4 linked regions of the Saccharomyces cerevisiae S288C genome follow. Changing the gene in region 1 together with any one later gene gives a genetic interaction. Each region holds a gene or a part of one and is shown in the gene's direction. Other genes may lie near its edges. The genes, in order: WHI5, RIM1, YKL069W and ULP2.

The links.
Region 2: mutations in WHI5 (region 1) and RIM1 together harm fitness more than expected from each alone (negative genetic interaction), as found in Saccharomyces cerevisiae (2 studies listed by BioGRID).
Region 3: mutations in WHI5 (region 1) and YKL069W together harm fitness less than expected from each alone (positive genetic interaction), as found in Saccharomyces cerevisiae (2 studies listed by BioGRID).
Region 4: of WHI5 (region 1) and ULP2, changing one suppresses a phenotype caused by changing the other (phenotypic suppression), as found in Saccharomyces cerevisiae (2 studies listed by BioGRID).

The regions. Positions count from the first base shown.
Region 1 is NC_001147.6:476,871-481,918, forward strand, and holds WHI5 (transcriptional repressor WHI5), read left to right. Parts: upstream 1-2,662; coding exon 2,663-3,550; downstream 3,551-5,048. Other genes in the region: TGL5 (triacylglycerol lipase), read right to left, coding at 69-2,318; LPX1 (triglyceride lipase), read left to right, coding at 3,717-4,880. UniProt on the Saccharomyces cerevisiae protein: Transcriptional repressor that negatively regulates G1-specific, SBF- and MBF-dependent transcription. Binds via SBF to promoters of G1-specific genes to repress transcription in early G1.
Region 2 is NC_001135.5:170,311-177,744, reverse strand, and holds RIM1 (Rim1p), read left to right. Parts: upstream 1-4,304; coding exon 4,305-4,546; intron 4,547-4,629; coding exon 4,630-4,795; downstream 4,796-7,434. Other genes in the region: 40S ribosomal protein uS11 RPS14A, read left to right, coding at 1-245; SYP1 (Syp1p), read left to right, coding at 1,307-3,919; FEN2 (Fen2p), read left to right, coding at 5,321-6,859. UniProt on the Saccharomyces cerevisiae protein: This protein binds preferentially and cooperatively to single-stranded DNA (ssDNS). Involved in mitochondrial DNA replication. Stimulates PIF1 helicase activity.
Region 3 is NC_001143.9:303,525-310,888, forward strand, and holds YKL069W (L-methionine (R)-S-oxide reductase), read left to right. Parts: upstream 1-3,760; coding exon 3,761-4,303; downstream 4,304-7,364. Other genes in the region: OSI1 (Osi1p), read left to right, coding at 1,590-2,360; YKL070W (uncharacterized protein), read left to right, coding at 2,687-3,196; YKL068W-A (uncharacterized protein), read left to right, coding at 5,682-5,918; FG-nucleoporin NUP100, read left to right, coding at 6,675-7,364. UniProt on the Saccharomyces cerevisiae protein: Catalyzes the reversible oxidation-reduction of the R-enantiomer of free methionine sulfoxide to methionine. Does not act on S-enantiomer of free methionine sulfoxide or R-enantiomer of dabsylated methionine sulfoxide.
Region 4 is NC_001141.2:290,704-300,749, forward strand, and holds ULP2 (SUMO protease ULP2), read left to right. Parts: upstream 1-1,929; coding exon 1,930-5,034; downstream 5,035-10,046. Other genes in the region: cAMP-dependent protein kinase regulatory subunit BCY1, read right to left, coding at 1-966; E3 ubiquitin-protein ligase SSM4, read right to left, coding at 5,347-9,306. UniProt on the Saccharomyces cerevisiae protein: Insertion mutation in SMT4 confers temperature and benomyl sensitivity; high copy suppressor of a temperature sensitive mutation in MIF2.

The DNA.
Region 1 (5,048 bases):
TTTTGGAGTTGATGGAGGTGAGAATATAGAAAGCTTTTTATATAAAAATGTACTTATTGTCTTTCATTTCAATTTTGAAAAATGTCTGAATTGTTCATGAAATTGTCGTTTGTGGCAGCCGACATAGCGTCCATGGGGAACCTGCTTGGATTGAATAAAGTGTTATCAAATGAACCGTTTTCAATAGCCGGTATGGGAAAATCTTCTGAGTTTGTTTGAACATCATAAGAGGAAATTGTTCCAGATTTTTTTCTATTTTTCCTCATCTCTGCCGACATATTTTGATTATAATAAGAAGATCTTTTTTTGAATTGAGGTCGTGATGGAACCTTCAATGGTGATTTCTTTAGCCGTAAACTAGATGCACCGATGGCAAACGATAAAGAATTTGCCTTCTGCCTTGTACCCTGCTGCGTGAATGAAGATTTTGAACGTTGTGGAGATGTAGAAGGCGATGGAGAAGGCGATAACATATCCATTTTCCTCTTGTTGAAGGTAGAAGATGGAGAAGGCAATGGCTGAAGAGGAAATCTTCCCGGTGCCGCTGTTTTGTTGGGAGACTTGATAATTGATAGTGAATTGGAGGAGGATTCTTCCAAGTCAACTCCCGGCAAGTCAGCATCCATTATGGAAAGAGATTTGATTTGCTCACTGAATCGAGGTTGGTAGAATTGTAAAGGGTTTTTTATTGACGAAGAGATTATTATTTTCTCCTTTAGGAATGTGATGGCCTTATCCAAGGCGAATTCTTGGCCACAGTTATTTTGAATCATGGAAATTTTCGGCCAAGTAGCTCTTGCACCTAAAGTAGTTTGGTGCAATAGGAAAAGTTGAGATGGGTTCTTCAATACTTCGTGGAATTGACCAACCATTGATAGATCGGGTAAAATTGTGACATTGCCAGAGTATTGTTGTAAAAAAAGGTGTTTCAATTTGGTCATCAAATAGGGATGGAACTCAAGCTCCTTTAGGATGTCTAAAAAATGAATAGTTTCGTCGGAAAAAAATTTGAAGATCTTTGTTACTTGGTTTCTGAAACGGGCGGTAATTTCCTTTTCAATTTCACCCCCAACGCAAGTGTTTGAAAACTTTAACAGGGGAAAGACATGTATATTTACCTGGCAGGCGATAATGTGGTCGACATTGAACATTTCAGAAAGACGAGAAATGGGCATGTCATTATCTACAGATCCGTCCATGAATTTCATGTTTGATAAATGTAAATTTGTTGCCCCCCACTCTTTAATCTTTCCAGTGTGAGGATCTTTCTCGAATAGCGGCGTGGAGGGGAAAACTCCAGGTAGAGAACAAGATGCGCATACGGCAGACCAGATGAGAACGTTTGGAGCGGTTAAATTGTTTAGTAGTTTCGGCTGTTCGTATATGGAAGCAGGCGAGACTGTGATATTCAGGATTTTTCCAGTCTTGTTGTAGGCTTCCCTAAAGGTCAAGTTTCCTAAAAACGAAAGCATTGTGTTAATCAAAGGTTGATTATTGAACCAGGTACCGTTTTGGCAGAACCTCGATATCTTGATTAGTAAGTTTTCGTTGGGAGATTTGGAATTGTCGTCATTGAAGATGTTAAACTCCATATTAAGTACATTGGTCAACAAGGAGGGAATTTCCTGGGTCGTGTGGACGCAAAATATGCTGGCAACAATGGCGCCAGCACTGCTACCGCTGATCACCTTAGGCATCAGGTCCGATTCAAAAAGGGCGGCAAGAACACCAATGTGGAAAAGGCCGAAAGTGCTCCCACCGCTAAGCACGAGAGCCGTGCGCCCTATGTTTCTTCTCGTCTGTTGCAAAATACCGAGGAGATAGTGATCGTTCATATTTGACTGATGGATCAGCGCGGTGAGCACTGCTTGAGACTCTTCTAGGTAGTCATGTATAATTTGTTTTGTGCCGGTATGCGAGTGCCTGTAAAGATTAACGTTATTCATGTTGCCAAGATTACGGACCCACTTAGTTCTAATCAGATAAAGCAGGCGGTGGTAGTCGTGAGTGGTTCTCAAATGGCGCATACGGATGGTCAAGTCTTGCAGCAGCTTATAGTTATACAACGAGGACTCGTCGATTGTTTTCCATTCGGAAAGTCCCGTTAAGTCGTCTAATCGCGACGCTATGTCATTCCATTGATCGTAGGAGATGGCGTGTTTTTTCTGGGAAGACAAATCGGATATGAGCAGCTGTTTACGGGAGAGAGTCTTGTGGTATAACCATTTGAAGAGCGATGATGAGTCTGTGGCAGGAGTGTTGGAAAGTTCGTAGTATTTGGATAAAAGAAATTCTGTTACTGGCAAGGTATTAGACATAGCAACGAAACAGAACCGTCTTCCTTGTGCTGTTTATGATGTCTTTTGTCTCCTATTGTTTTCGAATTTTATTTTTTTTTTTTTTTATTTTTTTATTTTTTTTTGTTTTATATAATTCCTCGCGCTGCCTTAATGATAATTCTTGATTTACTAATTGTTTCATGACTTCTGGTGCTAAAGGGAAGGGGGAAAAGGGAAGCGAAAACTTCAAGAGCAGAACGAAAAAAATAAAAAAAACAAAACAAAACAAAACAAAACAAAGGCAAAACAAGGCAAAGAACCTGATGGAAGAAAGCACAACCAGATATTAATAGCAACGAAAAATAGTAGAGACATTGAAGAATATGAGTTTGAGAACGCCGAAGAGAAGCAGGACTAGCGATGAACAAGAACAAGAACAAGAACAAGAGCAGGTACAGAACCCAGATACACATGTAAACAACGAGCATCAGCAGCGACCTGGGCCAACCACTCTATTGAGCACGCCAGTACGTCTCAAAAATGGCTTTGGAACACCATCGCCGCCGTCACCACCAGGCATAACGAAAAGCATCACTAAATCGAGAAGAAGGCCGTCGACAACGAGTCTTCAGGGTATATTCATGTCGCCCGTCAATAAGCGTCGTGTCGGCATAACCGCACATGGACGTGTATATGACCATAACGACGACGGACACGAAAGTGAGAGTGAGGACGACGAAAATGAAGAAGAAAATGAAAATCAAAAGAAGTACGACGGACACGTTAGTATGCCTTTGTTGCCACCGACAACGCCCAAGTCAAGACGGTCGGAGGTGTTTCTGTCGCCGTCGCCGCGTTTGAGGTCACCTCCGACGGCTGCGCGTCGGTCTACGGGCGAGCGGCCCATCCGCGAAATATCACATACTTTGCGCACCAGGCTCAATTACGCGTTAGTCAAGCTGCAAAATGGATGGACGGACAAGACACTTCCCGAGCTGGAGACGGAGCTTGCTCCAGCAGTGCAGACGCCGCCACGTCGCTATCACAACAGATTTCCAGATAGTGCAGACGCGGGTACTTCCGCGCATACAGCGTTTCTTCAGGCGCTCGGAGGCCACCCACCACGGGAGGAGGCCACGGCTGTCGAAACACTGATGCTATTGTCGTCGCCTACCAAGAAGCAACAACACCGACCCGTGCCGGCGACATCTGCTGGAGAACCCACGGACGAAACGGAGCCCGAGTCGGATACCGAAGTGGAGACGTCTTAATGTGGTAGTACGAGTTTTTTCTCCGCAATCTCGGAGTTAGTGCAGCCGCGCCCGCTGCTGCACCCTTTAGCATATATATAAAGTGCGTAATGTGCGTGCTAAAAAAGCTCACTAGTGCGTACTCTGCTTATCTCTGCGTATCCGCCGATCAACATCCGCGGCTAAAATGGAACAGAACAGGTTCAAGAAAGAAACGAAAACTTGTAGCGCTAGCTGGCCGCGCGCACCGCAGTCGACGCTGTGTGCGACAGATCGCCTCGAGCTCACATACGATGTGTACACTAGCGCAGAGCGGCAACGCCGCTCTCGCACTGCCACTAGGCTTAACCTTGTGTTTTTGCACGGCAGCGGCATGAGTAAGGTGGTATGGGAGTACTATTTGCCGCGTCTGGTAGCCGCCGATGCGGAGGGCAATTATGCCATCGACAAGGTTTTGTTGATCGACCAGGTTAACCACGGTGATTCTGCGGTACGCAACCGCGGCAGACTCGGCACCAATTTCAACTGGATCGACGGGGCCCGCGACGTGCTCAAGATTGCCACATGCGAGTTGGGCAGTATTGACAGCCACCCGGCACTAAACGTAGTCATCGGCCACTCGATGGGCGGGTTCCAGGCTCTTGCGTGTGACGTCCTGCAGCCCAATCTGTTTCATTTGCTCATCTTGATCGAGCCTGTAGTAATCACACGGAAAGCCATCGGCGCCGGGAGGCCAGGGCTTCCGCCCGATTCTCCGCAGATCCCAGAAAATCTTTATAACTCCCTACGTTTAAAGACGTGCGACCATTTCGCTAACGAGTCCGAATATGTAAAATATATGAGGAACGGTTCCTTTTTTACCAATGCGCACAGCCAAATCCTGCAAAACATCATCGATTTTGAGAGGACAAAAGCCTCTGGAGACGATGAAGATGGTGGACCCGTTCGCACGAAGATGGAGCAGGCTCAAAATCTCCTCTGCTACATGAACATGCAGACTTTTGCGCCTTTCCTGATCAGCAATGTGAAGTTTGTGAGGAAGCGGACTATCCACATTGTGGGCGCGCGCTCCAACTGGTGTCCTCCGCAAAATCAGCTGTTTTTGCAGAAAACTCTACAGAACTACCATCTCGATGTCATTCCCGGCGGCTCCCACTTGGTCAACGTTGAGGCTCCGGACCTGGTGATCGAGAGGATTAATCACCACATCCACGAGTTTGTCCTTACCTCCCCGCTGCAGTCCTCACACATTCCGCAATTGACCCTTGAAGAAAGAGCGGTGATGTTTGACCGGGCTTTCGACTCGTTCAAGAATGAAGCTTTGGTTAAAACGACTAAACAAAAACTGTAAACACTTGTGTACACTATTACATATATTATTCAATAATAATTAACTGACGCAATCTATGGCACTGGCGTGGTTTCTTTTTCTTTTGTTTTCCGTGCAAGCGCGATGCAACTATATCGTCGAGGACGAATGTGTACCCGTCTTTCCGCCAGACAGGTAACAAGTACTTCA
Region 2 (7,434 bases), on another chromosome or scaffold:
CATACGCTGCTATGTTGGCTGCCCAAGATGTTGCCGCTAAGTGTAAGGAAGTCGGTATCACTGCCGTTCACGTTAAGATCAGAGCTACCGGTGGTACTAGAACCAAGACTCCAGGTCCAGGTGGTCAAGCTGCTTTGAGAGCTTTGGCCAGATCTGGTTTGAGAATTGGCCGTATCGAAGATGTTACCCCAGTTCCATCTGACTCCACCAGAAAGAAGGGTGGTAGAAGAGGTAGAAGATTATGAGTTATGCATGTATTGTACTTGTATTGCCGTATTATTTTTTACAGTTAAAAAATGTGTACATATAATTATATAGCGCCCATAATCAAATCAGCTCATACGTCAATTTAGTAATAAAAAAAAGCCCTTATAACCTTTTAGTTAAGAAGATTCAAGATTGCGATTTGATTAACGTCATTACGGAAATGTAAGGACACAATTACCAAGAGTTACAAAATCGGTTCAGAGATTTAAAACTGTCGAAAACACTGTAATCATAAAGTTTGAATGCTTTCAGATACTATCTAGCATAAATTGTGTTTAAAAAAATCATCATTTTAGAATTTTGTTGACAAGAACATCTGGTGAAGCAGGCTACCCCTTTTTAAAATACGTGGAAAAAAAAATGACGTTCTCGTCATTGTCATCTTCCATGTCTACGCCTTTTCGTGTCCATTTCATTCTATTGATTAACTTATTAGACATCGGAGGGAAGTTTTTCCACCTATGTTATATATGTAAATTTTTTTTTGAAGGAGGCGCGCATAAAATAATCTCACACTATTTTGAACATTGCTTAGGGTTGAGTGGGGAGTAAAGAATAAAGCGAATCCTATTCGTGTAAGCCGGTCTACTTATTGATAACAATATTTTACAGGCGGCTATCATGTTTCAGCTTACGCATTCACAGTCAGGTTGGTGCTCTACATGAATACCAGCGTTTACTTTCATTTACAGAGTACTAGCACCTCCACTGTCGCTAATACTGAATTTAGTTTTGAAGAGTGAAAACAACTAAATCAGGCGGTAGAAGAAAATCAATAGCTCATATATTCTTATATATTACAGGTGATATTTGTATATGATTATGAATGGCTTTTCGTAGCCCGTGATCTTTCATTTCTATATTATGTGTAGCTAAAAGGGCCCCTTAAGTACTTGCAGATTGAAAAACTCTATATTGCATTCAAGTTTTCACGAAATACAAAGAAAAGGTCTCGTAGTTATTGCCTTAATAAAGGAATTACTTTTGCTGTAGTCGTATTGAAGCAAGCTTATTTGAAAATTGCGAATAATCACCTCTCATGACGGAACAAAGAACCAAATATGCAGATAGCATATTGACTACTAAGAGTCCTTACGAGGCTACCGAAACTATTAGAATCAGGTTATCGCAGGTCAAATTGTTGAATAAAGACTTTTACCTGTTATTTAAGGAATTGGCAAATCTGAAGAGGAACTATGCTCAGCAATTGAGAAAAATAATAGCTGAAAATGAAGATATAACAAAGATCTTAAACGCTCAAATGATTGAAAGTAATGTTTTGACTCCGCAGGAAATGAGTGCATTCAGATTCAACTCGCTGGGAGAGCTAAGAAATGTATGGGATACTGTAATTGAAGAACTAAAATCAGATTTGAAGTCAAGTACAGAATACTACAACACTTTGGACCAGCAAGTCGTTCGTGAATTGAAGGAATCCGTGGAGAACAATACTAGCTGGAGAGAAAGCAAGGACTTACATTCCAAGCTTAGTAAAAATGCAGCTTCAATTGAGCACTATAGTAAGAATAACGAAAACTCTAGTCACTTAGAAGAGGCAAGAAGGCAATGGGACCAGCAAAGCCCCTATTTGTTTGAGCTGTTCGAGACTATTGACTATAACCGTTTGGACACTTTAAAAAACTGTATGCTTAGATTTCAAACCAGTTTTAGCGATTATTTACTAAATACTACCAAAGAATGCGAAACGGTGATGACGAAATTCCTGGCATTCGAACCGCAAAGTGAAATTGATCGTTTTGCCAAAGATGCCAGTCAATACAACTTCCAACTATCCTCTTCTTCCAAAGAAGTAGTTCCTAATAATGCTTCGCCAGCTTCTGCCACTGGTGCCCGCCCGGTCTCTGTATCCAATGGTGCCGCTAATACGGAAAGAGAAAAGAAATCCCCACAAAAGGATAAGCGTAAGAGTGCATTTGGAAACATTGGACATCGTCTTGCCTCTGCATCTTCCAGTCTCACTCATAATGATCTCATGAATAACGAATTTTCAGACTCTACTAATAATTCTTCCTTGAAATCAAAAAAGTCGTCCCACACCCTAAGATCTAAAGTGGGCTCAATTTTCGGTAGAAATAAGACCAAGAACAAGAGACAACAACAATCATCATCAAACTCTCATATTCAGGCATCCATCACTGAGACTCCGAATAATTCTTCCACCAGAGTGTCTTCAACTGCAACTTCTTCTATTTATCAGAAGCAACGTCGACCCACCTATTCATCATCAAAATCAAACAATTGGACCCCGGGTGAAGCTAGTGACACTCCTCCTCTTCCTCCCCATGCTACTCCTAAAAACGTAGATGCACCTGTTACTGCCGATACACCACCTGCGCAAACTTTTACTCCTTCTGAAGTGCCTCCTTCAACGCCACAACAAAGTTCTCCACCCACTGCGAAAGAACCAGACTCAAGTAACTTACCCAAGACAGTACCGATATCAATTTCTCAACCTCCACTTCAGCCACAATCAAAAACAAAACCATTACCAGTTGAGCCTGCCTCTCCCAGTATTTCACTTCCTACTGCTACGGTTGATAACCAACCTTCAGGTCAAGTTGATTCAAGGCCCTTGCATATCCGCGCACCTGCTTTACCACCCTCAAGGAAACAAAATTTCATTCATAACAGGGATTCTCAACTCTATGACTCTTTGCCTAATCACGGCTCAGGCGCTACCCCTACTTCTTCTTCCTTGTCCTCTATTCCCCAGGAACGTCCAGTTTCCACACTCTCCTCTCAGATTACTGGCGAGCTAAGAGAACTAAATCCTCAAGCCACGGGCTCTTCAACATCTTTAGTTGGTCAATCGTTGTTTCAGCACTCCTCTTTAGATACATCTCAATTTGGGTTGAATGCTAGTATCGCAGAAGTGCTCAATGCTTCTTTCAAAGACGGTATGTTGCAGAACTCCCAACTGATTGGGGAAATTGCCCTCAACTATTTACCCAATTCTGTCATGAATTCGCCTTTACCTATCGGTATTAATTTGAGAATCAATAATGGCGCTAAGTTCGAAAAGGTCATTCTGAACCAAGCCTTTATTGAGCGTGTTGCTCCAGAAGAATTCAAAGTTAACCCTTCATTTATCGATTCTAGAACCTTAGGAGCTATTAAATATTCCATAAAGGAGCCGATCGCGCCTATTGTTATTCATCCGGTCTGGAGATTTGAATCTCACCAGGCAAGTGTTGTATTGACTGTCAAGATGTCACCAAGCTTACCCGATGAAATATCACAAATCGTAATAGAAGACCTCGTTGTCTTTGTGAATATCGATGGTGCTAATGCAACAAGCGCTTTATCAAAACCTCAGGGCTCCTTCAGTAAAGAAAAGAAGAGAATAACGTGGAGATTTAAAGAACCAGTTGTTTTGACAAGAAATGGTGAAGGTCAAAGATTAATCGCCAGATTTATTACAGACGGCCTGGCACATGAATCCGCTAAAGGCGTGATTACCAAATTCACTATCAGTGAGACGGATAACGTGGCTCTACCCCATAGCGGAGCCGGCAGTGGAATCACCTTGACTTGTCAGGAGCTGGATGAAAACAATCCATTTGGTGGTGAGTGGCTCGATGTAAACACAAAAAGAACTTTGACCACTGGTAACTACCATGGTCTCGCTTGATATTTCTGCTATGCTTCTATTTTTCAATATTAATTGTTCTTTTGTTTGCTAATCCATAATTTATGGAGGTGGCGCCGCTAAATCATATTTTCCTTTTGAAACCTTTGTTTAAGACTTACGTAGAACTACACTTATGTACTATAATGTTCTGTAAAGATTCTGTATTTTCGTTCTTTTCTATTCCATTTTTCGGACTTTTAGGACTTTTCATCTAATACTTATTATTTGTGGAGGAGTGCTTAAAAGGCGTTTGCGCCCAGACGAAAAAAAAAAAGCTAACACAGTAGTTGAGAAAGACAAATACCACGAATTTGATAACAAGTCATTTGCTAATTGTGTGTCCTTGACAAATACAAAACAAACAAAAATCCACTAATCCATTGTAATGTTTTTACGTACTCAAGCTCGTTTCTTCCATGCTACTACCAAGAAGATGGACTTCTCGAAAATGTCCATCGTCGGCCGCATTGGCTCTGAATTCACTGAACATACTTCTGCTAATAACAATCGTTATTTGAAATATAGTATCGCTTCGCAACCAAGAAGAGATGGCCAAACCAATTGGTATAATATCACCGTTTTCAATGAACCTCAAATCAATTTTTTGACAGAATATGTTAGAAAAGGGTATGTTATTTATTCTTCAATTTTACTTACTTTACAATTACGCGTTATAATTTACTAACATTTCCTTTCCATAATTTATTCAGCGCTTTGGTATATGTTGAAGCAGATGCTGCTAACTATGTCTTCGAGAGAGACGACGGTTCTAAGGGTACTACTTTGAGCTTAGTTCAAAAGGACATTAATTTATTGAAGAATGGGAAGAAATTAGAAGATGCTGAGGGCCAAGAAAATGCTGCTTCTTCAGAATAATTGTAATATTTACGCTTGCTTATTTCGACTCTTCCTCGATATTTTTTATCTAGAGCATGCTTTCTTTTACTTAAAATATTTATGGCAAATAGGAAAAATACATTTGGAATAACGAACTAGTTATGTAAAACTATGCTTATTCTCAAATAGAATGTATATATACTATAATATATTGGTTAACGTGTGTTATGCAAAATGCTTTTTGATGATGAAATTTAGCAAAAGAGGAGGAAGCTTTAGCGAATTTAACATATCCTTCATTGTTACAAAATTGCCTACACCTCCATTGATCCATGCAGTCCGATTATTGTAGATTTTGAGTAGTCGATCTTGAAAGGCATTTTTGACGAATTACAAGAACTCAGCATCGATCAAATCTTCTACATGCGTATATTGTAAAGGAAGACATCGGCTCTTAAGAGAAATGAGGCGGACCTGTAATTCTGATATAAAAGTATTCCGATTTATTCAAGATTGAGAAGCTGTTTTCAGAATTTTTGATTGGAGAGAGCCTGGGCCTAAGTCATGATGAAGGAATCGAAATCTATCACTCAACATGAGGTTGAGAGAGAATCTGTTTCTTCCAAGCGTGCCATTAAAAAGAGATTACTTCTGTTTAAAATAGACTTGTTTGTGCTATCATTTGTTTGCTTGCAATACTGGATTAATTATGTCGACCGTGTCGGTTTCACCAATGCATATATATCCGGTATGAAGGAAGATCTTAAGATGGTCGGAAACGATTTGACCGTGTCTAACACAGTTTTCATGATTGGTTACATTGTAGGTATGGTCCCCAATAATTTAATGTTATTGTGTGTTCCGCCCAGGATATGGCTAAGTTTTTGTACGTTTGCTTGGGGTTTATTGACCTTGGGAATGTACAAAGTTACATCGTTCAAACATATTTGCGCAATTAGATTCTTTCAAGCCTTATTTGAGAGTTGCACATTTTCAGGAACACATTTTGTTTTGGGTTCGTGGTATAAAGAAGACGAATTGCCCATTAGAAGTGCTATTTTTACAGGTAGCGGTTTGGTGGGATCTATGTTCAGTGGATTTATGCAAACAAGTATCTTTACTCATTTGAATGGGCGGAATGGCTTGGCGGGTTGGAGATGGTTATTCATTATTGATTTTTGTATCACATTACCCATTGCAATTTATGGGTTTATTTTCTTCCCCGGCCTTCCTGATCAAACAAGTGCTGTTAGCAAATTTTCTATGACGAGATACATTTTTAATGAACAAGAGCTACATTATGCTAGGAGAAGGCTCCCCGCTAGGGACGAAAGCACCCGGTTAGACTGGTCGACTATTCCTAGAGTCTTAAAAAGGTGGCACTGGTGGATGTTCTCTCTTGTTTGGGTTCTGGGAGGTGAGAACTTGGGTTTCGCATCTAATTCTACATTTGCATTATGGTTACAAAACCAAAAATATACGTTGGCGCAAAGAAATAATTATCCTTCGGGGATATTTGCCGTAGGTATAGTTTCTACGCTTTGTTCTGCTGTATATATGAGTAAGATCCCAAGAGCTAGGCATTGGCATGTTTCTGTTTTCATATCATTGGTAATGGTTATTGTTGCGGTACTAATACGTGCAGACCCACTAAATCCAAAAGTCGTCTTTTCTGCACAGTATCTTGGAGGCGTAGCATACGCTGGACAAGCGGTTTTTTTTTCGTGGGCAAACATTATTTGTCATGCAGATCTTCAAGAACGTGCTATCGTTCTTGCTTCCATGAATATGTTTTCAGGGGCCGTTAACGCATGGTGGTCTATATTATTCTTTGCTTCAGATATGGTGCCCAAGTTTGAGAGAGGTTGCTACGCCCTCTTGGCTACGGCAATATCAAGCGGAATTGTCTCGGTCGTCATACGCTCACTACAGATAAAAGAGAATTTGTCTAAGAAACAGGTTCCTTATATAGATGCTAATGACATGCCCGGAGAAGATGACGATGACGACAACCAGGATAATGAAAATGATGGCGACGACGAGAGTATGGAAGTTGAACTTCATAATGAGGAAATGGCCGAAATTTCAAATCCTTTCCGATAGATACATTCGATTCTTTTAGCTATTCATTGGTCCTGTTGATGGTAATGGAAAATCTCAGGGCTCTTTTCAAAAGTATCATGAACAATAGCCGCTAAGACACTTCTAAAGAGGTCTACTTAGTTTTTCATCATGCATTTTTCGATTTCTGTTTAACTAATCTTTCTTTTCTTCCTTGCCAAGTGCAGGACAATTTCTAAGTCTATGTTTTTAAAAGCTTCTTGCTAACTTATTCGAAAAGGTTTAGTAAGTATTTTGTTCTCTGCTATGCGTTCACGCACTCTGCTATTTTCTACTTCTTGGTAGAAGTTAAAGTAAGTCAACTAATTACGACACCATGTCTGATGCATTTTAGAAACTTCAAATTTCAAGATTATTGTGACACGAAAAATTGGTTATTTTATGAAACAATGTAAGGAAAGCATTAGAATCTCAGGCAATAGAAGAGACCAAGAAGGAGCGAGAACTTTTTTTTTCACTGACAGAGCTTTACCAATCCACAGACAATTGCCAGGCCATGAAAAGATCTGTTCCAATTTTTCCTTTATCTATCCTCTCAGAAGATTGTGAACTTGAGT
Region 3 (7,364 bases), on another chromosome or scaffold:
TTTGACATTATGATCATAAACATGCGCAAATCCTAAGATCGTGAATTACCTCTACTGCGAGAATACAAATTATAACATATGACTAACGTTACACAACATTGTATTACATTTCTGACTAATTTGAAGTCTGGGAGTTAATTGTAGTAGCCTACTAAATAGCGCGGTTATTTATAAAGCTAACATTACCATGTTACATGACATGCTATTTCTAGCGAGGTAAAAGCATTGCTCCGGCTTTTCGAAGATAAGTATTCCTTCAATTTCCAAATGTCACAACATAAAATTTTGATTTGCGTTATCTCTCGTTCTCTTTAATCACTACAATAGCATCAACCAAGTCAATAAAACATGTTGTGAAGAGACTACGCAGACGTGACGGTCATCTAGCAACTCTCCATCTTTTGATGCAGCCATCCACAGTTTATCGTGAGTTATGGCAAAATCCAAAAATGTACCGTACCATTTCCTCTTTAATCCTGTATTCAATAAGCAAGTTCCCCATTTCAATTGATCTACACATCACTGCGCGTTAAAGCGCACCTAATTTATTCGGTAGGAAACAGAAATAGTCTGCAAAGTCATTCAAGCACCTTTCTTTACCAAATGAAAGGATTTAATAGTACCTATGAAACAATAGTTCGAACTTTTGCCATTTCCCGGTTTTTTTGGCCAGCTTGTATAAAAGTGCACCTTACCCTTATATTGGGCTCTTATTGAATGCCTTCCGAAGAACTGACTATTCAAAAAATAGAAACAAGTACGTCAATAAAAAATTTTGCAATTCTACGAATAATTATTCCTGTTTCTTTAACCTGGTAAAAAAAAGTACAAACACTTAAGCTTTTTGAAACAGCTTTATTTTGCTTCATTAAATAGCTAGGATAAGAAATCCCTCATCCGAAAGGTTTTGTATCTAACTACCCTAGAGAACATTTGTCCTGATCAGGTTCATTTGGAGTTTATATTTTTTAGAAGCTCAAAGTTTGTTGGACTCATTACCATGGAAGAAAAAAAGAAGATACTACGAAATATTGGTTTCTCAGGTTAAATAAGGGACACCATTTTCCTATTAGGCTAGTCGAGCTTAGTTCTTCTAATTTCTTCAGATCTTCTATAATTTCCTATCTTCTACCTGATGTGTGCATGATATATCTATGAGCTCCTGATATTGCTTGTTTTACTTTAGCTTGCATGACTTGCAATAATCTAATCATATATGTTCCCGATTAATATACTGTGCACAAATTGCAGGACATATAATTTTTCCGTGGATTATATCTTCGATTAACGTCCGCGGGTCTCATAAAAAGCAAACCAACTTCGCAATTCCCTAGAAATACCTCAATAGAAAGTTATTTGTAATGAGATTAGTAATGAGATTAGCAATGAGATTAGTAATGAGATTAGTAATGAGATTAGTAATGTGATTAGTAATGCATAGCGGTATAAATGGTAGTACTAATAAGTAAGATAGTATACCAGTTATAATAAATAGGCGGCGATGCTTCAAAACTAATTTTTGACGTTTTTAAGAATAAAGCCTTTACCAGTGGCATAAATCAGTAGAATTCTAAGCAAACAAAGTCGATATGAATACTTCATCAAGAATAACTTACTTTATCATCGGTGGTAGCCGTGGAATTGGTTTTAATTTGGTCAAAATTTTAAGCGCTTCTACGGGCAATACAGTTATAACCTCTATTCGTGGATCACCTTCATTACCCAAGAACAAACAAGTGGAAGATTTAGCAAAAATCAGGAAGAATATCCATATTGTCCAACTTGACCTTACAAAGGACGAAAGTATTGGCAATATTGCGGACGAGATCAAGAAAACGCCATTCTTCTTGGGTATTGATATTTTTATCGCATGTTCTGCAGTATCTGATTCTTATTACAAGGTCCTGGAAACTCCCAAATCAGTCTGGCTCAACCATTATAGCACAAACGCTCTGGGTCCGATACTAGCCCTTCAAAAAGTTTATCCACTGCTTCTTTTGAAAAAGACGAGGAAGATATTCTTTATCTCTAGTGTTGCAGGATCTATCAATGCGTTTGTACCACTTTCTGTTTCCGCTTATGGTCAATCGAAAGCTGCCTTGAATTATGCGGTAAAGACGCTCAGTTTTGAATTGAAACCGGAGGGTTTTACTGTCGTTGCTTTTCACCCAGGTATGGTATCTACTGATATGGGCCAATATGGCCTTGATCATTTTAAAGAGAAGAATATAGACATCAGCGGCGTAAATATTATCACACCAGAAGAAAGTGCCTCTGCGCTAATTGATGTCTTCCGAAAAATTTTACCAGAAGATAATGGAAAGTTCTTCAACTATGACGGCAGCGAAGGCGTCTTTTAGATAAGTGCAAATTTGGCTACTTATATACAACTCAGATACGGAATATACCTTTGTGTAATACACTTTTTTATTGGTAGGTGCTATATGATGTGACTTTGCTTTTGCCTCACGCCCCTTTAAGAAGGTATTTTGTGGCATCACTTTGTATGCTGATCTTTTAACGCTTAACCAGATTTGAAACTATCTCTATTATGTCCTCTGATTTTAATTAGGATGGTATATAACTGGTCCTAGAACCGAAGATTCTGCATATTCGCCGAAAACCATCCCTTAATATTATAGACATAAATTGCCAGTCTGAGAAGAATCCAAGAATCTATTTCATAATGTACATTCCTAAACATTTTGAGTCCATGGAACTCTCAAGGTACAAATTATCAAAAAAACCCCCGCTAGGAACACTATTCTCCTCTAAGGCTAGCAGGCAAGGTTTCTTCGGATGGAGAACTTCTTCCAATAAAGATGACCCCGATTTTGGTATGTGCGCATCACATATTCCATTTGTATTCGTGGAGTTCGATAATGGAGAGCATAAACTTATTGCACATTTAGCACGGAAGAATAAACATGTGGAAATGCTGGAAAGAGTTCAAAAATGCTTAGTGGTATTTCAGAGCGTCGATTCATACATTTCTCCGGCGTGGTTCCCAATGAAGAAAAAGACCCATAAGTTCGTACCAACATGGGATTTTGCCGCTGTGCACGTTTACGGTACACCAAGGATTATCCGCGACGATAAAGACTGGCTTATTAATATGTTATCAACTTTGACTGACCAAGAAGAAGAGAAAAGACCTGAGGGGGAAAATGTACGAAGTAAAGTGGAGCGTTTCTGATGCCCCAGATTATTATATCAATGCTATGCTTCAAAACATTGTCGGGCTTGAAATCAGTATTACCCATATTCAATCAAAGTTCAAATTCGACCAAAATAAATCACAGATTAATGTTGAAGGCATATGTTGAAAATTCAAAGAATTTGGTGGAGAAAGAGGCCAAGAAATGGCTCGCCTTGTAAAAGATAACTATCCAGGTAGCTTATAAGTTTTGTATTTTCTCTGCGCATTAAATATCAATAATTATTTATTCGTTTTCATTCTTTTCTTATCTTATCTTTTAATATTGACTTAACAGAGGGCAAGGCCCACCGTGATGCAGAAAGAACACAAACGCAAAGGTTTACCTATTCCCTGCAGTTAGAAAACCATGTTTGGAGGAAATGAAGAAAGATATTTACAGTTGAGTTTACAACGAAGTATTATCCTTTTTAACGAACGCTAATATCATCGGTTTCTTCATGTTTATATGATGACGATTTTCCCAAATGTAAGCAAACAAAGGCGTTTGCTGATAAAACAAATCCGTAAATTAGAAAAAAAAACAAAAAAAAACAAACAGATATGGGCTCATCAACCGGGTTTCATCATGCCGATCATGTTAACTATTCTTCAAATCTGAATAAGGAAGAAATTCTAGAACAGCTTCTGCTTTCATACGAGGGGCTATCAGATGGACAAGTCAATTGGGTTTGTAATTTGTCAAACGCTTCGTCATTGATCTGGCATGCGTACAAGTCATTAGCTGTTGATATCAATTGGGCTGGATTTTACGTTACTCAAGCTAGCGAAGAAAACACACTGATATTGGGCCCATTTCAAGGAAAGGTCGCTTGCCAAATGATTCAATTCGGTAAAGGTGTTTGCGGAACTGCAGCCTCTACAAAGGAAACGCAGATTGTTCCAGATGTCAACAAGTATCCCGGTCATATTGCGTGCGACGGTGAAACCAAGAGCGAAATTGTTGTTCCAATCATATCCAATGATGGTAAGACATTGGGCGTCATAGACATAGATTGTTTGGATTACGAAGGATTCGACCACGTAGACAAAGAATTCCTAGAAAAACTTGCTAAATTAATTAATAAATCATGTGTCTTTAAATAAGAGTTTTGAGAACGAACAAGTATTTACGCACATAACCAATATTCCCATGTAGCTCTCTTGTCAAATATATTGTCGGACGGGCACGAATAGAGATAAACATCAAGAAAGATTGAGGGGCTTCAGGAGATCATTGGTGAAGAAAACATTCCCTGTTCGCCAAATTGACAGCTCTCAATCTTTATTTGTAACCCTTATTGCAAATTTATGGCATGTTTACCCTCAAACAAAGGATATTCAGCATTTATTAAAAATATCTTTGCTTGGTAAGAAAAAAACGTCAACGAAAATGACGGAGATATCTGACGGAAAAAAAAATTGATTTCGCCCAGGATCGAACTGGGGACGTTCTGCGTGTTAAGCAGATGCCATAACCGACTAGACCACGAAACCACTTAATTGTTGAATAACGGACATCTAAAGTCATATCTATAGTGCAGCAAGTTCTTCTTCAGCTCACCCCAGTCTCGCTAAAGGCATGCTTACTTTGCCGTAAAGAAGAAAGGAACGTTCAAAATGTGTTTGATGCGTAACTGTGATGATTTTCTATCATTTACTTGCATGATATCGGTGAAAATTCTAGCTAGATTTATCAATGCATAGAAGCAGTAAGTGATGCCACAGATATGAGCTTTTCTCTGTGGCGAGGTCTTTGAGAAATTAAGTGGCTTGTACAGTTTTCACATGACGATTGGAAATGTTGAAAAAAGAGCCTAAAAATAGGCCTTATCGAACAACATTAAACTAATAATCTTCTGGATGCGATAGTCTTACTTGATAAAAATCATTGGCGATATTGTGTTACCTGGATTATCAAGCTCGCCACTAAAGGTGTCTGGATCCTTACTCAATACAAAGTCCAAGGAAAGGTGTGCCACAGGAAGAGGTAGCATCCCTTTATTTCTTTTCAAGGAAAGAAGCATTTTCAATCACATATGTATACAATAGTCTTCCGTGTGGCTGCACCGCACCACCTTGCAGGTCCCGTGTATGTAGGAGTCGCATGCGAATAAAAAATTGAGAAAGATCATGGGGTTTTTTGTTCACGCGGGCCGCAGTTGTGGCTCCTCTGTCACTTTTTTGCCCTCTGCTAAGGGCAAAAAAGAAAAAAAAACGCAACGAGAAAATTAAAAGTGTGGCATTTCGACATCTATCGCCATTCGTGCGGCCATTTCTCGAAACAACGCTAAACTTTTGTTTCGACTGTGAGGCCCTAGAACAGTTCGATTCTGATGTAGGCAATGGAAGAAACAATCATATATAACTACAGAACCTAATGTTACATGCTTGCATCTCTCAGCTCCCGCGAATTTTCAAGTGAGACTTAATGGTAGCCATCTAGTAACTCATAAATCAACGACATTATATATCATCAACTACAATGCAGGCAAACCATTCCGTCAGTTACCTTTACGAATCAAGTACTTCAAAGAGGTCAAATGGGCTCTTTTCTCAAACACAAAAGCAAGGAAGTTTTCAAAAAGCTTTAAGTCAAACTCAGGAAGAAATAGAAGATGAAGACCTGATGGTAGACCTCAACACAGGATCTTTAACTCCCGTTAAGTTAAAATATTGGACTCAAATGAGTGCTATGACGGAAAAATTTGGTAAACTGTGAGACCAATTTTGGCGGTAATTTCGTTTAGCTGTTTTATTTTCACATTTTTAATTGTCAATGCTGGAGGTTGTTAAAGTTTGGCTAGCTGTTCTGAACAATCCTTGTATACCGGTGAGACTTTTTGTTATAGATATTGGCGATATTCATTTTTTAGGAAGGTGTTTTTATAGATTTTTCAATTTTTTTTGTGTAGATGCATGTTTTGATTACTTATGCATAGTACGAATTTTTAGTTTATTAAGCTATAGAGGTTTTTTTTTTTTTCACCTCTTTACCACAAATTTAATAGCTATTGTGTAGAATAACTTTTAATGGAAAACATTTGCAGTATTTTAGTATTTTTCTACCTGTTTATTGCAAGTAAGGGCAGCATTATCCTGATAGGAGTAGAGGTTAACCGCACATCGGAATGAGACTTCTCCAAGAACGTTCTCAAAGTAAAACATTTAGCATTAGGAAATTTCTTTGGTCGATTATTAGACAAAGATTAGATTGTATTATGTTCTGATGCTTAGTTAGAACGGAAAGTGTTACCCATCTTGCAATCACCGTGACACCTTAAATATTTGCCGTAAGCGAAGAAAAAAAGCATGAAAAAAAAAAGCATATTTATGCTGAAGTCATCTACAAATGACCACCGCTTTTGGACCTGAAGAGGAGAAGAAAATAACATATCGTAGAACAGTCTTTGTTAACCAAAATATTTTAGCTTTGATTCCGGACTATTAGTACATTGAATTTTTTCAGGTACTAACAATGTTTGGCAACAATAGACCAATGTTTGGAGGGAGCAACCTTTCCTTTGGATCAAATACGTCATCCTTCGGTGGGCAACAATCGCAACAACCAAACTCTCTTTTTGGAAATAGCAATAACAACAACAATTCCACCAGTAACAATGCCCAATCAGGATTTGGTGGATTCACTTCTGCCGCTGGCAGTAATAGTAACAGTTTATTTGGAAATAACAATACTCAAAATAATGGGGCATTTGGCCAGTCAATGGGTGCCACCCAAAACTCACCATTTGGGTCGTTAAACTCCTCAAATGCCAGTAATGGGAACACTTTTGGAGGATCCAGTTCAATGGGTTCTTTTGGTGGTAATACCAATAATGCATTTAATAATAACAGTAACAGTACCAATTCCCCGTTTGGTTTCAATAAACCGAATACAGGAGGGACCTTGTTTGGTTCGCAGAATAATAATAGTGCAGGTACTTCTAGTTTATTTGGCGGCCAAAGTACAAGTACCACTGGCACATTCGGAAACACCGGAAGTAGTTTCGGAACAGGCTTAAATGGCAACGGCTCTAACATATTTGGGGCAGGGAACAACTCACAAAGCAATACTACCGGCAGCTTGTTTGGCAACCAACAATCTTCAGCGTTTGGGACAAATAATCAACAAGGAAGTCTATTTGGACAGCAATCTCAAAACACCAAT
Region 4 (10,046 bases), on another chromosome or scaffold:
GATCTTGGTATCCAGTGCATCGGCAAGTTTGGCACGGTCGTACGTAGTCAAACTCTTCAAAACTGGCATGCTCTTCAAAAGATCGTCATACATGAGTCTCTTCTTGAAAGAGCTGCCCAAAAGTATTTTTCTGAAGGTGAGCCTGTCTAGAGCCCACAACAAACAGTCGGAGGTTGCTACAACGGTGGCAGCACGAGGGCTGTTGTACATAAGAGCAAGTTCCCCGAAACTGGAGCCTGGCCCGGAAGAGTTGACCTTGTTGTCGTTGACGTAGAAGTCAACAGTACCCTTTTCGACGACATAGAAGTAGTCCCCTTGGTCACCTTGCTTGATTATCGTAGCACCTTTGGGGACGGACTTCTCCTCCAGACAATTTATGACCAGCCTTTTTGAGTCGGAATCCAGCTTGTTGAACAGAAAGTTATTACGGATCGATTTTTCCAGTCTTTGCAATTGCTGCTCGGACTTTTCCTTATAGTGATCTGGAGTCCAATCGTCAAAATTGTTTGGTTGTAAGGTCTCACCACTAACAGAAGTACGCCTTTGGGCGTTGAAGTGCATTGGGAGTGGAGGAGTTGATGTCTTTTCTCTAGTATGCTGTTGTTCTTCCTGTGCTTGCTGGTGAGTGTCCTGTTCGTGCGGGTCTAAATTAAACCCACTTTTAAACACGTTGGAGTGTGGGTCCTCGTTCACAAAGGGGGATTTGAACATAACACTCGATCTGGATCTTGATTGAGATTGAGCTGATTGAGGTCTGGAAAATGACTCCTCTGGTTCCGGAAATAGAACAATGTTCTTTGCCTTAAATTCAGGCTCCCTGGCCTTGAGGAACGCTCTCTGTTGTTCCAGCCTTTTATTGAAATAGTTGGCGGAGAACTGAAGAAAGTCGGACGGATTAGCGGCGTTGATTTCGTTCTGGAACAGTTGCAATTCGGCTTGCGATTCCTTGGGCAAAGAAGATACCATCGTTTATTCTTACTGTTGTCTTTTGAAAATAATCTGCTTGTTGTAAATGATCTTCCTATTTATGTATGCGTGAAATGCGTGTAATGGATGTGATGATAGCGATCGCTTGACTTAGTCGAGGAAAGCGTAAAGTGTCCCTTTTTCTCTTTCCCTTTTCCCTGTTTGTTCAAATTTTCTCTTTTCTACCTTCCTCTTCGTTTTGCTCCTTGCCAGCAAAACGAGGAAGGACAAGAATTTTGGAGAGCGGCGGCGCGGCGCCATAATAAATGCACTTGAGCAAATGCAATAAGTTCAGCTTATGGCTTCTGCAACAAAGAAGAGGTCGGAATCCGAGCACAGTATAATCAATATATTATCAGGCAGAACAAAAGTGGCGGGTATAACACGAAGAAAGAAGGAAGGGTGGTGATTGGGTGCTTTGTTTTTTTCCGCTCGTCGTGGTGGCATGCGCTTTTTTTTTCTTGGGTGAAGATTAGCCGCCGAAGTCGTATGCTCCTCTTTTGAGCGTTTTGAAAGATAGAAAAAAGCTGAGTAAGTAAAATCGTCGGCGGCTAATCTGAAAAGTATATAAAGTCCTTTATATTTTCCACTCGTATTCTTTTCCCTCCTCCTTTTTTTTTTTACTTTCTCACGTATGGCTTGTTTCATTTATTATCAGATCAGTAATCACGTGCCGTGTCGTTAGAAATGACATTTGGTTCTTTGCCTTCTTTGTCCTTTTTCTATCTTCCTACTAAGAGAAACTATTATACAATACAATAAGAGAACATCGTGAAACAACATAAAAGATATCACGTCATCAGAGAGAGATAAAACATCACAACCAATTACATTACAGTGTATTCGTTTCTTCTTAGAGAGAGAAATAAAGAGCGGGATAAAAGGACACTACACAGTATACCCCATACCCAGGTGCAATAATACACGTATATCTATGTTTATTGCACATCAAACCCCACATATATGTCTGCCAGAAAACGCAAGTTTAATAGTCTCAAACCGCTAGACACCTTGAACAGCTCTCGTGCCAGCTCTCCAAGGTCCTCTGCTTCTCTACCGCCCAAAAGATATAACACTTTTCGTAAGGATCCGAAAATCGTTGATCATCTAAACAATGCTTCTACAAAGGATTTCTTACCAGTTTTGAGTATGAACAGCGAGAGTAAGAGGCAGATCGAATTGTCGGATAATGATGTTGATAATAATGATGAAGGTGAAGGCGTCAACAGTGGCTGTTCAGATCAAGATTTTGAACCTTTGCAAAGCTCTCCTTTGAAAAGACACTCATCACTCAAAAGCACTTCCAATGGTCTTTTGTTCCAAATGTCTAATAATCTGGGGAATGGTTCACCGGAACCGGCAGTAGCGAGCACTTCTCCAAATGGCTCAATTATTTCCACTAAACTAAATTTGAACGGCCAATTTTCTTGCGTTGATTCGAAAACATTGCGAATTTATCGGCATAAAGCACCATGCATAATGACTTTTGTCTCAGATCATAATCATCCGAAATTTTCATTGTATTTTCAACAATCGGTGATCTACAATTCACAAGTTAATCTGCTTGATGATGTTGAATTGATAATTTTAGATAAGAAGAACTCTTTTATGGCTATAATTTTAAAAGATCTGAAAAAGGTCAAGATGATACTAGACGTGAATAACTCTTCAATCAACATTAACACGAACATCTTGATATGGTCCACTGCAAGCTCCGCTTCAAATAAAAAAATAAAGTCTATTAAAAGATTCCTGTTGATGTCATATTCTTCGTCGATAAAAGTCGAAATTTTAGATCATAAAGAGCAGATTTTGGAAAGACTAAAACATCTGATTCATCCTATTTCTTCGTCATCACCTTCATTGAACATGGAAAGGGCAATAAACTCCACTAAAAATGCATTCGACTCTTTAAGACTTAAAAAAACTAAACTTTCTACTAATGATGATGAAAGTCCGCAAATTCATACTCATTTCTTATCAAACAAACCTCATGGTTTGCAATCCTTAACAAAAAGGACTCGTATTGCCAGCCTTGGGAAAAAAGAGCATTCAATATCTGTTCCAAAATCGAATATTTCACCCTCAGATTTCTACAACACTAACGGGACAGAAACTTTACAATCCCACGCAGTTTCACAACTAAGACGTTCAAATAGATTTAAAGATGTTTCGGATCCAGCAAACTCAAATTCAAATTCAGAATTTGATGATGCAACTACGGAATTTGAAACACCAGAACTGTTTAAACCTAGCCTCTGTTACAAATTCAACGATGGTTCAAGCTATACTATAACAAATCAAGATTTCAAGTGTCTTTTCAATAAGGATTGGGTTAATGATAGCATTTTGGATTTTTTTACAAAATTTTACATTGAATCATCTATTGAAAAGTCAATTATCAAAAGAGAGCAAGTTCACTTAATGTCCTCTTTTTTTTACACGAAACTAATTAGTAATCCAGCAGATTATTATTCTAATGTAAAAAAGTGGGTTAACAATACTGATTTGTTTTCTAAAAAGTACGTTGTTATACCAATTAACATAAGTTATCATTGGTTTAGTTGCATTATAACAAACTTGGATGCGATCTTGGATTTTCATCAAAACAAAGATAAAAACGATGCCATCAACTCCGATGAGATTTCTATAAATAATCCTCTGGTTAATATTTTGACTTTCGACTCGTTGAGGCAAACTCATTCAAGAGAAATTGATCCAATAAAAGAATTTCTCATATCCTATGCACTTGATAAATATTCAATTCAACTGGATAAAACACAAATCAAAATGAAAACGTGTCCAGTTCCACAACAACCTAATATGAGCGATTGTGGTGTTCATGTTATTTTGAATATTAGAAAATTTTTTGAAAATCCGGTGGAAACAATTGATGTATGGAAGAATTCTAAGATTAAAAGTAAGCACTTCACCGCAAAAATGATTAATAAATATTTTGATAAAAATGAAAGAAATAGTGCGAGAAAGAATTTAAGGCATACTCTAAAACTCTTACAACTCAATTACATCAGCTATCTGAAAAAAGAAAATTTATATGAAGAAGTTATGCAAATGGAGGAGAAAAAAAGCACCAATATCAACAATAATGAAAATTACGACGATGACGATGAAGAAATTCAAATCATTGAAAATATAGATCAAAGCAGTAAAGATAATAACGCGCAGTTAACCTCGGAACCTCCCTGCTCACGATCATCCAGTATTTCAACAACAGAAAGAGAGCCGACAGAGTTGCATAATTCCGTAGTACGACAGCCCACCGGTGAAATAATAACTGATAATGAAGATCCCGTTCGCGCTGCTTCTCCAGAAACAGCATCCGTTTCTCCTCCCATACGTCACAATATTTTAAAGAGTTCATCTCCTTTCATATCAGAAAGTGCGAATGAAACTGAACAAGAAGAATTTACGTCACCATACTTTGGAAGGCCGTCTTTAAAGACGAGGGCTAAGCAGTTTGAAGGCGTTTCGTCACCAATAAAAAACGATCAAGCCCTGTCATCCACCCATGATATTATGATGCCGTCGCCTAAACCTAAAAGGATTTACCCAAGCAAAAAAATCCCACAACTTTCCTCGCATGTTCAATCTCTATCGACTGATTCTATGGAACGCCAATCTAGTCCCAATAATACCAACATTGTAATTTCAGATACAGAACAAGATTCGAGGTTAGGAGTGAATTCTGAAAGTAAAAATACTAGTGGTATTGTTAACAGGGATGACTCGGACGTCAATTTAATTGGTAGTTCACTACCTAATGTAGCGGAAAAAAATCATGACAACACTCAGGAAAGTAATGGTAATAATGACAGTCTTGGTAAAATACTTCAAAATGTTGACAAAGAACTGAACGAAAAGTTGGTTGATATTGATGATGTGGCATTTAGTAGTCCAACTAGGGGTATTCCAAGAACCAGCGCGACAAGCAAGGGATCAAATGCACAACTTCTCTCTAATTATGGAGATGAAAATAACCAGTCTCAAGATTCTGTTTGGGATGAGGGCAGAGATAATCCTATACTCTTGGAAGATGAAGACCCTTGAAAGCACTCGCACGCATAGTTTTATATTTTTTATTCTTTTCCTCTTTATTTTTATTTTTTTAACATTCTCGCATAATAATAGTAACAGCAATAAAATAACTAGTAATATACATACTCACATAAATAGGCATATTTTTTATTTTGTTCTTTCGTATTCAGAATGGTAAATTTTTCTAATGAAATGTTTTACAAAAATTTTTTTTCTATAATTCTAACAATAAGAAATAAAACAGTGGAAAAACATATAACTTAATGTAGATATATATATGTAAATATGCTAGCATTCATTTTAAATGTAAGGAAGAAAACGCCTTTAACTTTCATCTGGTAAATTTTCTAAAGCTCTACCCTTAGTGTAAACCTCGTCTTTTACATTCTGTACAGTACTTTTGAACCATTGAATGAACAGCACAGTTGCTTGGAAAAAGAACGTAAATGACTCTAATGCTATCAGTAGTCCGAAATAAATATCTTGCATCCTTGTCCATGTTGGGAATGATTCGTTAAGCGATAAAGTGAAACTCCTGGATCCATGGCTAATATCGATAATCTGCTTTGTAGAAACATCACGTAAAAATACTAAGGATAAAATAATAATCGGCAAGACGTAAATTACCATGTGCAGGAAACCTTGTTTAAACAGTTCCAAAGCCATTGTTTTCAAGAAGTTCAATTTACTAGTATTTCTGTTTCTGAAAAATAGTTTCAATGACTTATATCCGGTTCCGAAATTGACCATTGACGAAATGATCCAAACGACGAATAACAAACTCTCGTCATATTTAAACCATTTGGAATTACCAATAGTGTATGAAGAATTGCCAAACACTCTGATGGTGAGATAATTGTAACAGGCTAGTATACCATCGGTTAAGACGACCCACGAAACCATAGTTCTAATAACCGCAATCATGATAGCTATAAACACCATCAGGTTATACTTCACCAACATACTATCAAATATACTGTTAAAGATGGCCATGAAAATTCCTTGACCCTCTTCCACATTATTGATATTATTAACAGGGGCATTGTTGATATCTCTCTCTGGTATATCGTGTTCCACTTCCTCTACTTCGTTTTCGTCAACGGCATGTTCATCGAGAGTGTTTTGGCCTTCTGTAAAATGAAGAATATCCTTAGCAATCTTGGATAAACAAACAGATCCGACACAGACATAATAAATGTTCAAATAGGAGTAGCTAATGTCAGAGAGTTCCTTCCATGCAACATAGACCTTATTTCTTTCACCTAACAATAGCTTTACGACTGGAAGAAAGCCGAAACTACAAACAAAGTTTATTAAAGCTTGACTAATAAATGTAACACCAAGCATTAAAATGGAAGCAAATAACCAAACCAGGCCAAGCAATGTCATATAGCGTAAACGGAAATCTGGAGGGACGTAAACGATATAATATTGATCATATTCCGTGTTTTGTTCGTCTAAATAACCAAATTCACCAGCAGCACGTTTGTTTCTCTCTTTAATTCTTTCCAAATCTAATGGTTTCAACAGCTTATCATCCTTTGTAACGGGGACAAACATTGTTTGTACATAATTTCTGGATACTATATCAGAAGAAGGAACACGCATTAAAACGCCATCGGGGACAAAATAAGCATGAACGTCACGAACTTGCCCAAACAATTCTTCTGCTTGTTCTAGAGTCTTTGGTTTAGTGAAAAGTTCTTGGTTTGACCATTCTGCATTCTTGGCAGCAATGTACTTGTAAAACAAATTGCGGTAAACAATATGGCCTCTCTCTGTTGGGGTATCTTTACCTAAGATAAAGGATGATAAACGTAATTTTCTTGAACATAACTTAAAAATTGTTTTCCAATACCTTTCCAATAAGGGTTTAACGTAAGAGCTAGACTCCAGGATCCTCTTCGTAAAATATAAAGTTAGCAAAATTGTATTGAACTTCCATGAAATAATTGATGTTGGTTTATAAGCTTCAGGAACGGATAATAAGTTCGATTTGAGCATGAATGGGAAAAAAATTCTAGTATGGAAGCCAAAACCTAAGACAATAAAAATCGCATAAATAAACATGGATAAGCAAAGCCTTGATAATTGAATACTCATCGGATGAATTAAACTATCATGCAAGATCTTAATATTAGGATCTTCTGGAGATCTGATAAAGAATAGAACACCTGGTCTAATGATATTTTTCCTAATCATTCCGATATATTTGGCAAACCAATACATGTAGAGAGTACCAATCGTCCAGTATACGAAAAGGGAAAATGGAGGCCATATTGCGCATATTGAAGGAACCCAAAGCATCCGACTATTGGATGCCAGGATTGGGCAAAATAATGAGAAATCTAGCATTACACCAGCTAGAATGGGGAATCCAGCCAATTCGATGAAAAATAAAGTGAACACCTTGAAAGTGCATTTGAGTGCAAATAAAATCTGGAAAATCAGCCTTCTAGTAGGGTTGCTCATTCCGTTCTCACGGCCATAACCCCTCGAGACAAGATTGGATGAAGCACAAACGATACTGACTGAGGTTAGATACGTCGTTAAAGCAGGTAAAGCTCTGATGAAAATTGAGTGCTTCATGGTGTTTTCAGTGTAGCCGTTGTAAAGATAAATGATGTCATGAATTAAGTGGTCTGAAATCCAACTCATCGCGACATCTACTTTAGGGACCAGTTTCGTCAGCCCATTGTAAGCTATATGAGCGCCAGACAAGTAGTAAAGATGGCACAACCCACGCAAAATAACCTTAAATATACCAAAATAAATTTTCAACAAACCGAACCCAATAAAAGTTGGAAACAAATAGGAAATTGCCAGGTATATTGCGGTGAAAACTACGGCAATTATGAAATAAGCAATGACATTCAACAATTTCAATTTGAGATTTATCACTAGAGGGCCTTGTCCTTGATCGTCTGGGTTAGCCTGTGCTGGTGGCACACCAACAGCTGCGCCAAAGTCTTGTTCGTCTTGATCGACATTTCCAGCTCTGTTTTGGGCAGGTGGTGGGATGAAAACCGGAGCGTTGGGCCTGTTTATTGCGTTCTGTTGAGCAGCGATTAGGTCATCAAATTCATTTTGCGCACGACGATTTGCCCACATGTCAATCGGATTGGGCTCTATATGATCACGGTAATCTGCCTCTTCTTCTGGTTGCTGCTGTTGCTGTTGCCCCTCTGCTTCTTCATCTTCTTCGTTGTCACTTGAAGACCCCGGTAAAATTCGTGACGAATCATCACCTGATGGTAAACTATTGTCAGAGTCGTTGTTCTCGTGCTCTTCCGTAGCCTCATCATGATCTAATTCGTCTACGTGGCGAAGGTTTTCAAAATTCCGATGGTCATTAGGATCCTGAGGTGGAACGTTATCGTTTCTGGGATTAATAACATTATTATTATTATCTGCTGCTGCGGCTGGCATGTTCAGTCTATCATGACCTTGCTCTTGACGATTTTCGTCATGAGCTCTCATTTCCCTCGCTAAATATTCAACCATTCTATCATCCATCATGGGGAATCTTTCCTTCAAACGTGATTTCAAGTCCTTGGGAGATAATCTTGGACCTATCTTGTGGAAAACCATTTTACTGAAAACATCCTCTCTTACTATCATATCGTATTGAAAGTACAATGCTATATGTAGTATCACTATCATAATAAATTGTAAAGACGTAAACGAATGGTTTTGTAAAAGTTGGTAAAAAATTGCTCTCGTGGTTAATTCTGGAGTTGCTGACTGATCATAACCATAAATCAAACTCTTTAGGAAATCACCAGGATAAGGGGATGATCCATCTAGCATCATGGTGTATAATTTTCCAAACATGTTCCATACCAAAGGAACACCGATAATATATAGTACAGCGGCCAAACCAATCGTTAAAGCCAAACGAGCTTTTTCGAAAAATGTCAAGATGCTCTTGGATAGTAGTAAAGAAAAAGGTATCTTTTCGGGCATGTTTTCCGCATATATCGTTTTGAATTGAATGGGATAGTGACAGATGTCACATTTAACATCCGCGCCTGGTTTTGAAATGTCTATATTTTTTGAAGCTACCCATTCCAACAGACAGGATTCATGCATGTATTTAATTGAGCCCCTGCATTTACAAGGATGGAAAAGAGGATTGTCCTCAGTAGCTTCTCCACGACAAATACGGCAGGTGGCGCCGGATGGCGCATCATCATTGAAAGTGGCGGTATCTGTTTCCTCGTTTGCCACCTTATGCAGTTCATCTCTTAACCTGGAGACATTAACGTCAGAATCAACATCCATGACTTTCACACTTCTAGTCTCTTTGATTCAATTAGTGGTACTCTTGGCTAAAAAAACAGTTTTTGAAATCAGTAACAAAGAACTATTCTTAACGTAATCTTATGGCTTCATAGATCGGTCATAATCATCTTTTCAATGTCCTCAATCGATGCGTTTTCAACCAGTTTTCCGTCTCTAATGATTTAATTTTTCTATTGAATTGAAAATGGTAAAAAGATAGCCCTGTAGGGGGCTCGAACCCCTAACCTTATGATTAAGAGTCATACGCGCTACCGATTGCGCCAACAAGGCTATTTCGTTGGAAAAACTACTTATTTTAGGAAGTAATAGCACATTTAAGATGCTTGTTGGAATGAAACTTTAAAATATCATCTGTTTAGTACTATTCATGTTACTAATTAAGATATGGGTGAATTTTGAGATAATTGTTGGGGGTTCCATTGTTGATAAAGGCTTATAATATTATGTATACGGAATATACTAGAAGTTCTCCTCGAGGATCTAGGAATCCTCATAATGGAATCTATATTTCTATATACTAATATTACGATTATTCCTCATTCCGTTTTATATGTTTCATTCTCCTATTACATTATCAATTTTTGTATTTCAGCTTCCTCTAACCTCGATGACAGCTTCTCATAATTTACGCCATCCTCTTACACCGCATGTGATGCTATTACTACTAAATAGATAACATTAGAATTTCATTCCAACAGCTTTAGTCTGTTTTAATAAAC